Mus musculus: one gene and its partner. The protein of the gene in region 1 interacts with the protein of each later gene in a pairwise test. Links are inferred from orthologs where the notes say so. Each region holds a gene or a part of one and is shown in the gene's direction. Other genes may lie near its edges.

Region 1 (4,492 bases):
GCTGTGAAAGTTACTTCAAATGATACTTTGTTTGAAAATTTATCTTTGAAGCACTAAAGGAAGACCACTGCTTGACAGGAATACACGTTTCCAAATGTTTTGACAACTTGAAACTAGAACCTTTCACCAAAGAAGGTTGCAAAGTATTTTTAAAGATAGTAACAAAAAAGCAGAGTTTCAAGATATATGCTAGAATTAAAAGGAAGGGTGCCTCTTACAGCCCAGGTTTCTGAAAGGCTCAGGAAGGTCACCGCAGTATTTTAAAAATCCTCGGCGCTCCGGCAGCCACATTTTGACATTATTGGGCAGCCAAACTGTACTTCAGAAACCGCCTTCACGTGCCAGACGCATGCAGAAAGTAGATAATATAAACTCCCGTGGATATCACACCGCGGTGCACACTTAGTGAACATTCATTCTGTCTATGGCTTTATTTTCGCGCAATGAGAACTGATCCATCAAACCTTCCCAAAAGACCCGCAGACAAGTCGCACATTTGGGCGCACAACTTCAATTTCAGCTTTGCGTTTTCACCAAACCCCTCTCGCCGTGCGCGCTGCGCGTCTCCCCACGCGCGGTGCTCCGGGTCCCATCCTAGAACTCGCTCACGGCAGGCGAAGCACCTTTCCAGGTACGCTCCGGAGCGGGCGTGTTTACGCGCATCCAAGTGTGCGGCACTTTGAACGCGGAGTCCATGTGGAGCCCGCGCCGAGCTCCCGCAGCTGCCGGCCGCCTCCGGGGATCGGAGCGGCCGCGGCTCGCGGGATTGCTGCGGGCGAAGGGACTCAAGCGCCACCCAGGCAGCGGGACAGCCCCGGCTGCGGGCTCTGGAACGAATGCGCGGCGAGCCCAGCCCCCAGCGCCGCGAGCGAGCGAGGGAGGCTGGGTGGAGGGAGAGCGGAGCGAGTGAGGAAGCCGAGTGTGGAACGGCTCGTCGGCCGCCACCCCCACCGCCACCGCCGCGCTGCCTCCACCGCGGCCCCGCCCCTCCGCCGCGCCCCTCCCCCACTCCGGCGCTCCTCCCTCTAAGTTCCCCCTCCCAGGTCCCCCTCCCCGTCGAGGTTCCCCTCCCCCTCCCAGGCTCAGGCTCCCTTCCCCCTCGCCTCTCCTTCTCGGGGCTCCCTTCCCCCTCCACAACCCGTTTCCCCACTCCTCCTCCAGGCTCCCCTCCCCCGCCCAGCTCTCCTTCTCTTCCACCACCCGGCTCCGCTCCCCTCCCCCTCCCGGGTCCTCCTCACTTCCTCCCCTCCCCCTCCGGGCGCGCCCCACCCCTCCGCTCCCCTCGTCTCCCCTCCCCCTCCTCGGGTCCTCCTCCCCTCCCCCTCCACCCCCTCCCCCTCTACCCCTCCCCCTCCTCGCTCCCTGTTCCCTCCTCCCTCCCCGCGCGCCGGGCGCAGGCCGCTCGGGTTTGTTTTGCTGCGCGGCCGTCGCCGCCGCGGGCCCGGAGCTCATTTGTGCCTGGCTGGTCCCCGCGCTCCCCGGTGCCGAGCCGGAGCCGTTGGCCGCTCGCGCGCTTGGCTCTCTCCCTTAGTAACAGCTCCCCTCCTGCCTCGGTGCTGCGCCCTGCCCCCGCGCCCCTCCCCCGCCGGACCCGCTGCCCGGCTGTCAGCGCCCGCACCCCAGGGCGCCTCGGGGTGCCGACGGCGGCCAGGAGGGGAGCGCCGCGCGTCCTGGAGGGGACAGCGTCGCCAAGCAGGTGAGCGCGGGCCCGGGGCTGCGGGCGCCGCGAACTTGGCCTGGGCGCGGGGGAGGGGCGGCTGCGCTCACGTGCTGCCCCCCCGGGTCGGGGTGGCTGCGGGAGGCACTGGGCCCAGGCGAGCGGGCTTGGGGGCGCAGGCTGGATGCGGGGCCGCAGCCGCCCTGTGCTCACATAGCGGGGGAGCGGCCAGGGCTCAGGATGGGTGCTGGTCCGCGCTCGGGCGCGCGGGCTGCAGTCGCCCGGTCGCGCACCCCTCGGGCTGTGGCGCGCGGAGACCCCGGGCGGCGGCGGGGACCGCGGGCGGCTGTTGGGGCGCGGGCGGGGGAGGGGCGCGGCCGGGCCTCGCTCACTCAGGACGCGAGTGTGGGCACCTTGTGCCTGTGGCCTCCCCACGAGGAGGCCCTGGCCACAGCCTCGGTAAAGTTGGGTCAGAAGTGTATACAGTTGGCAAACTTATTGCCAGCTTCCTGGTAAGTTTCGGGGTGGCACACAAGTCACATTATCTTCTGACAGTATAGAGCCACGTTGTGAGTGTTTGCTGGGTGACTTCCTCTTTGCAACCGATGTCTTTTTTTTTTTTTTTTTTTTTTTTTTGGAACAGGGGCTGACTTTCATTTAAGTGTAATTCCACGTTGAAAGGCAGCTCGAGGCGAATCATGCATGTGTTAGAGTGTTCGGTAATTTTGGAAGTTCTCAATTTGGATTAAATTTAGGTTGTGAAAATGGTCTGTTCTGTGTAACATTTGGGTTGGGTGGCTTTTAAGAAACGCTCTCTTTGTTAGGTTACCCAACACTGAAAATAATTTGGTGATCACACAGAAGAGTTGGAACATAGCTAAACATTACATTTCTTTAACAGTCTGGAGTTTTCTTAAAACCTTGGTTGGACTTTATCGGCCCCAGGGTGAAGGGTTATATGCCATTTACAGTTAATTAGGGAAGTTTACTGTTGGCTTTCTTGTTTTTCCATATAAGAACCTTATGCTGGTCTAAACATGTTAATAAAGTACGGTGGATGAAATGATGTGTTATTTCTAGTTTGAATCTTGAGATTGAAAGCCCCCCATCAGTGTAAAACAATACAAGGCCATGTCTTACTGATTTAACTTAGCTAAAGTGCTTTGCAGTATCTTGGTGGCCCATTGAAGGTAGTAAATGAGTTTTGGGTTTCCCTGTGTGATTCACGTTCAGTTTTGTTAAATAAGACCCATGCTTATTGGAGCACTTCAGTAATCCTGACTTCCTGGGACTGTATGTTCTCGCCACTTTAATAAGTTTATAGTCTGGGGAAGTAGGGCATCTTTATCTGCACAAAAACACTGTGTATCAGTTGGATTGAATCGTGGGAGTTAATGGCAAACTTCCCAAATTATCACTGAGAGTTCTAGAAACAGTTGGCATTTAGCTATGGGGGAGGGGCGGTAGGTCGCCAGCCTGCCTGAAAGGGGTTGGGCAGGTCCTGTGTGCCCTTCGTGTCTAAATGGAGGCTTCTCTGCTGCTTTGACTATTTCTCTCTTAGTTTTGCTGCCCTGCATGGGATGAAGTCTGTAATCGCAAACACTAAACACTCAAATTACTTGTCTTACCTTTAGTTTGTAAACTCAGATCTCTAGAATTTAGGACGAACACGCCAACCCTGTGAGGAAAGAAAATATGTGTAAAAAAAGCTAAGCAACTTCATTAACTTGTTAACGTCTTCAGAATTCTTGCAGTTGACCCTGTCTTTGAAGCACACTTCTAATCTGTACATGTTGTTAGCATAGGAGACTGGTGGTAAATGGAGTGTGTGGGTGGTTTTTTTTTTTTTTTTGGTAGTGTTGGGAATTGAGCCTAGAGCCTCACTCCTGATAGATAAGTGCTCTACCAATGAGCTACTGCCCAACCTTGATATTGTATTTTGTTGAAGACCAATAAAACATTTTAACTTTTTATATAAACCCAAGAACCTCTTTTGATACTTGTAGTCTCCATCTAATTAAGGTTTTTGCAAGACTGATTATCATAATACCTGTCTGCCAGAGAACCAGAAATAACTGCTTCCTGTGAAACTGGTAAGCTTTCAAGCTAGCGAGCTAGGTCGCTACAGCTTTATAAACATGGGGTCTCTGATGAAAAGGGGCTGACACATGGACCTTTGACACTTGAACCTGTTGAGTAAATGTCCTAGTTCACTTACAGCGATGAAGTGTAACTGCAGAGTGGTCTCCACACAGTTTCTCCAAGGATGGCTGGCTACTGTGGACATTCACTGAGCAGGTGTGGATGGAGCTGAAACTATTTGTTAAGGTTTGATACTTACATTAACACTGAGAGAGATGGCAGAAACATTGGCTCTGCTTACAACTGTTTTTCTAGTACATGTGAATTTGACTCATTTTCAGAAATATTTACAGTGTATGTACATCCCTGAAGTGGGAAGAGGAAACAGTGAGCAGGAGACATTTACATTTTGTCCTCAGACCTGGGGTTGTGTAGCAAGAAGGCCTTCACCTTGCTTGCTGAACTGCCATCAACAGAGCCTTGGGATGATGGTCAGGAGGTCTGACGACTTATGTTGGTGGCATCCTACTTAGTAATTGTACAGTTTATTGCCTTTTTGCCAGACATCTGGACAAGGACAGGGACTCTGCCTGAGCCACCTCCAGGAAGGTGTGAGGAGGCACTGCCTGTCACACTGCCTGTCACACTGCCTGTCACACTGCCTGTCGCTCAGGCCTTCAGACTGATCCCTGTGACCAATCTGTAGTGTTGGCTTTCTCTGTGGTGAGATGGAAAGGTGCTCCAAGGTGTTTA
Region 2 (4,550 bases), on another chromosome or scaffold:
CCCATGCATGCACAAACACGCATATGTGCACACATTCAAGAACACATATATGGTTACAATTAAATAGAACCCTAGCTCTGCCCGGTAGTGGTGGCGCATGCCTTTAATCCCAGCACTTGGGACGCAGAGGCAGGCGGGTTTCTGAGTTCGAGGCCAGCCTGGTCTACAGAGTGAGTTCCAGGACAGCCAGAAAGAAAGAGAGAAAAACCTACACAGAGAAAACCCCTGTCTCGGAAAAAGCAAAAACAAACAAAAAACAAAAAAAGAGAAACTAACTCTTTGGGCCAGTGAGAAATCTCACCAATTAAAAAAAAAAAAAAAAAAAAAAAAAAAAAAAAAAAAAAACTTGCTGAGAAAGTCTGATGCTAAATTCCCTGCCTGGAACCCACATAAAAGTGCGACAATCGGGGCTGGAGAGATGGCTCAGCGGTTAAGAGCACTGACTGCTCTTAACCTGAGTTCAAATCTCAGCAACCACACCGGTGGCTCACAACAACCTATAATGAGATCTGATGCCCTCTTCTAAGGGGTCTGAAGACAGCTACAGTGTACTTACATATAAATTAATCTTAAAAAAAAAGTGTGAGAATCAGCTCCACAAAGTTGTCCTCTGATCTCCAGTGGTATGTGCAGACACGCGCGCGCGCACACACACACACACACACACACACATACAGAGTTTACACACAACAATGATGATTGTTTTGAGACAGGGTCTCAGATGTGTAGCCCTTTCTGTCCTCAATATATATACAGACCAGGCTGCCCTCAAACTCACAGAGATCCACTTGTCTATGCCACCCAGGCATTGGAATTAAAGATATGTGCCAACACAACCAGCAAAGAAAAAAAAATTTTTTTTAAAGAACTCTTGTCAAAGTCATTTACTGAAGATAATCTGATTGTACAGCTAGTACATGCCAGCAGCCATGAGGCTAAGCACCAGGTGGGCTTCAGGTTTTTTATCGTTGTTTTTTGAGACAGGCTCTGCCCTGCCAGTTTTATCCTAACAGTTGGGATAGAGCGTCTCAACCTGATAGGGTCCTAGATAGCACTCAATCCTTTGTGCGGGTCTGGTCCCTGCATTGCGGGGAGCTTGGAACTCTAAACAACCCAAGGAGGCCATACTGTCCGCACATTTAGAAATGGCCCCTAGGGGGAGTCATCATCCTCAAGTGAACGCACAGAGCCATTTCCGACAGAGTCCCGGACCAGGACCAACGGTTTTCCGTCACTGGTAAATGAATGGAAGTCACAAGATGCACTGGTGGGAACCGTATTACAGTCCCCGGATGATTCGTCAGCTCTTTGTGGAACCAGATTCCGACTCCTAGCTCAGAATCTCTTCGCGGCTACTCCCTACCCAGACGAGATACTGCTCGAGAAAGTCAGCCTCTGTCTGGCATCCGACCGAGGCCTCGGAGTCGGAAGGCTTAGGGACTTCTCCCTTGTCCCCACCAACCCTCTGCCTTCCCGACAAGGGTTAACGCAGCAGGCTTCAAAGTCGCCGCAGCGCCTCTAGGGGGCGACGCCCTGCACTCCTGTGGTCACGTGACAACGAGGGCGGCCACAAGCGCCAGGCTGGCCAATAGGAGACGGGAGCGGGGTCCCGGGACTAGAAGAAACGGCGGCCGGGAGGGGGCTACGGGATCATGGGGCTTCTGACCATTCTGAAGAAGATGAAGCAGAAAGAGCGAGAGCTGCGGCTGCTCATGCTGTATCCTCCGAGCGCTAGAGCGGTCGCGAGGGTAGCGGGGCCCGCCGGGTGGGCGGAGCCGGGCGTGGGGGGGCGCGGCCGCCGTGGGTACCTATTGCCGGTGGTGCGTCACGCACGCGGCGCTACCACTGCTCGGCGCGGGGCCGGGGAGGGCCGTACCACTCTGCGGGGTGGGGGTTGGCGTGCAGAAGGCAGCCCGGTGGTCTCAAGGCCCGGCCTAGACTTGGGACTCCAGTATCACTGCGAGGCGCGACGCAGTGGTGGTGACTCGGACGTCACGCTGCCTCGGGCTGGCCCGAGCGTGGGCCCTGCTCCTCCCTGGCGCTGACCCCCTCCCCTTCATCTACGGGTGTAGGCCTTGGCGCTTCCCTTAGGGTCGGAATCCCAGGGTCTCGAGGACCGCCTAGGCTCCTGCGAGTAGGCGTGGACTCGGTTGGCCACAGGTCCCGCTGTCACTTAAGGCCACCAGCGACCTTTCACCGCATTAACTGGCACCTGCATCACCCGTCTTGCACTGTGCCGGGCCACCTAGGCATCTGCGATCCACAAAGTAGCAGAGGGAGAAAAGGAAATTTAATGTGCACGTAGAACTTTACCACTCGTGCGTGTTTTAGACAATTCTGAGAAAGACACTCATTAGATGACCTCCAAGCACCTATGTTAGGGAATTCGGTAAAACAGGGAAGCGAAAAAGGCTTCATTTCAGATATTCTGTGATGAAAGGGGAGAAAAAATTGATAAAGCAAGTAAGATATGTAGTGTAGGATGAGAAGAATAGAGTCCACAAGGAGGTAGAGAGAGCTGGGAAAACGTAAGCAGAGGACCTGCAAGTGCGAAGGCCCTGGAGGAGGATAAGACAGGCATGTTCAAGAAAGGTTGAGAAGGAAAGAGCTGGAGAGAGGGAGAGCCCATGGGCTGGGGCCATTTAGGCAGCTGGACTATGAAGGGAGCACAGGATGGTGGCTTAGACCATGGTGGTAGTAGGAGAGTATTATGACTTGCTGCTGAATGGGAGAAGACAATGAGGGAGATGTAGCCAAGCATGAACTGGTCTCTGGCCAGAGTGTTCAGAAGGACAAGGAGCCACTTGCTGAGATGAGAGACGCATGTCCCTGGGAAGACACCAACCCTGACTGTTGGGCAGGTAGGTAGCAGCCATCAGCCTAGAAACGATCATGGGATGGCCCAGCTGGGGAGTGCTGAGACCCAGGTGTAGACGCTTGTGTGAAGTCAGATGAGGGTAACAGGATGGGGTCTGGGAGAGGGCCAAGGAAAGAGCAGCAGCGCCCGGAGCAGAGCAGAAGCTGGGCCACCCGGCCAGTGGAGAGCAGTAAGGGGGTCTTCGGAGACCTACCTGGCAAAGTGAGGCTTCAGGAAGCATCAGGAGCCAGTCTGCTAACAGTAGACCTGTAGAAAGCAAGAGGCTAAGTAAAACTGGTGCAGTGGTGAAGAACCAGGGAACAGGGGTTCAGTGCCCAGTACCCACTTGGTGCTTCACAGCCTTGTGTAACTTCAGTCCTGAGGTCCTCGTGTAGGCAAAAACTCAAAATATTCTAAGCAAACAAAAAATGAGCATGGTATCGAACACCTCGAATGCCAGCGTTCAGAAGGTAAAGGCAGGTGAATCTACGGGCTTGAGTCCAACCCGGTCTACAGAGCAAGTTCCAGGCCGGCCAAGGCTACATAGACCTTGTCTCAAAAAAAAAAAAAACCAAAATGCAGGAAAAGTCCAACATGGTGTTACATGCCTGTAGTTCTGGCACTCAAGAGGCAGAGGCTGGAGAACTTTGACAAGTTTGAGGCCAGTTTGCGTTACATAGAGTTCCAGACAAAAAAAACAAAACAAAAGAAAACAAACAAACAAACAAAAACAATACAAGCCAAAAGATGGAAGTTGGTACAATGGAGTATAACACCTGTTCCCAGGATGCACCCCAGAGGAAGCTGTGGCCGACTCAGCAGATGGTGGGGGAGTGGGTGGAGACAGGTTCTGCTGCAGTAGTGCGCAGCACTCGAGGCGTGAGGCGAGAGTTTGGTGATGAGAGGAGAAGGGATGGAAGAGTGGATGTTGTTGGATTGACAAGACAATCTGCTGGCTTTCCAAGGTGAGAGTTGGGCTGCAGAAGGTGGAAGGTATTCACCCGTGCCTCTCAAAGGTGGGAGTCACAGAGCCAGAGTCAAGTGAGTAGGAAGAGGTCCTAAATGTAGAGCCTGTCCCTTCTCCCCTCCGCTCAGGCTTTGGCTGCCCCACAGTCTCACCTGCGGTTGAGCTCACCTATTGGCTTGTTCTCTGCAACGGAGGCTGTGGATCATTCCAGAGACAGATGAAGGTGGTTGCCACCTCTAGATACTTGCCCTTTACTTGGTCCTTCAGAAGGCTGGGCCCATCTGTTTTGGGCCTCAAGACCCCACAGAGCCTTGTCTGGTATCTTAAGTTGAAAGCCATTCCTTCCAGGAATGTCCTTCACTGGTTCCAAGTACCCAACCTTCTCTTCTGCTTTATTTAGTCTTTAATTTTTTTTTTTTAAAGATTTATTTATTTATTATATGTAAGTACACTGTAGCTGTCTTCAGACACTCCAGAAGAGGGCGTCAGATCTCCTTACGGATGGTTGTGAGCCACCATGTGGTTGCTGGGATTTGAACTCCGGACCTTCGGAAGAGCAGTCGGGTGCTCTTACCCACTGAGCCATCTCACCAGCCCTAGTCTTTAATTTTTTAACACTTATTTATGGATGTGAGAACTTTGTCTGTACACTGGGGTGAGTGGCTGGTGCCCACAGAGGTCAGCATTTGGTTGTGAACCACCAGGTGGATGCTGGGAACTGAACCC

What was found.
Region 2: the proteins of Tbl1xr1 (region 1) and Arl2 interact in binary tests that used the Homo sapiens proteins (3 or more experiments, as listed by UniProt). The two-hybrid records come from large-scale screens. The link is inferred for Mus musculus from reciprocal best matches to the Homo sapiens genes TBL1XR1 and ARL2.

Annotation. Positions count from the first base shown.
Region 1 is NC_000069.6:22,075,259-22,079,750, forward strand, and holds the start of Tbl1xr1 (F-box-like/WD repeat-containing protein TBL1XR1), read left to right. Parts: upstream 1-1,393; 5' UTR 1,394-1,696; intron 1,697-2,051; exon of another isoform or gene 2,052-2,169; intron 2,170-4,492. UniProt on the Homo sapiens protein: F-box-like protein involved in the recruitment of the ubiquitin/19S proteasome complex to nuclear receptor-regulated transcription units. Plays an essential role in transcription activation mediated by nuclear receptors.
Region 2 is NC_000085.6:6,138,204-6,142,753, reverse strand, and holds the start of Arl2 (ADP-ribosylation factor-like protein 2), read left to right. Parts: upstream 1-1,616; 5' UTR 1,617-1,652; coding exon 1,653-1,717; exon of another isoform or gene 1,718-3,124; intron 3,125-4,550. UniProt on the Homo sapiens protein: Small GTP-binding protein which cycles between an inactive GDP-bound and an active GTP-bound form, and the rate of cycling is regulated by guanine nucleotide exchange factors (GEF) and GTPase-activating proteins (GAP).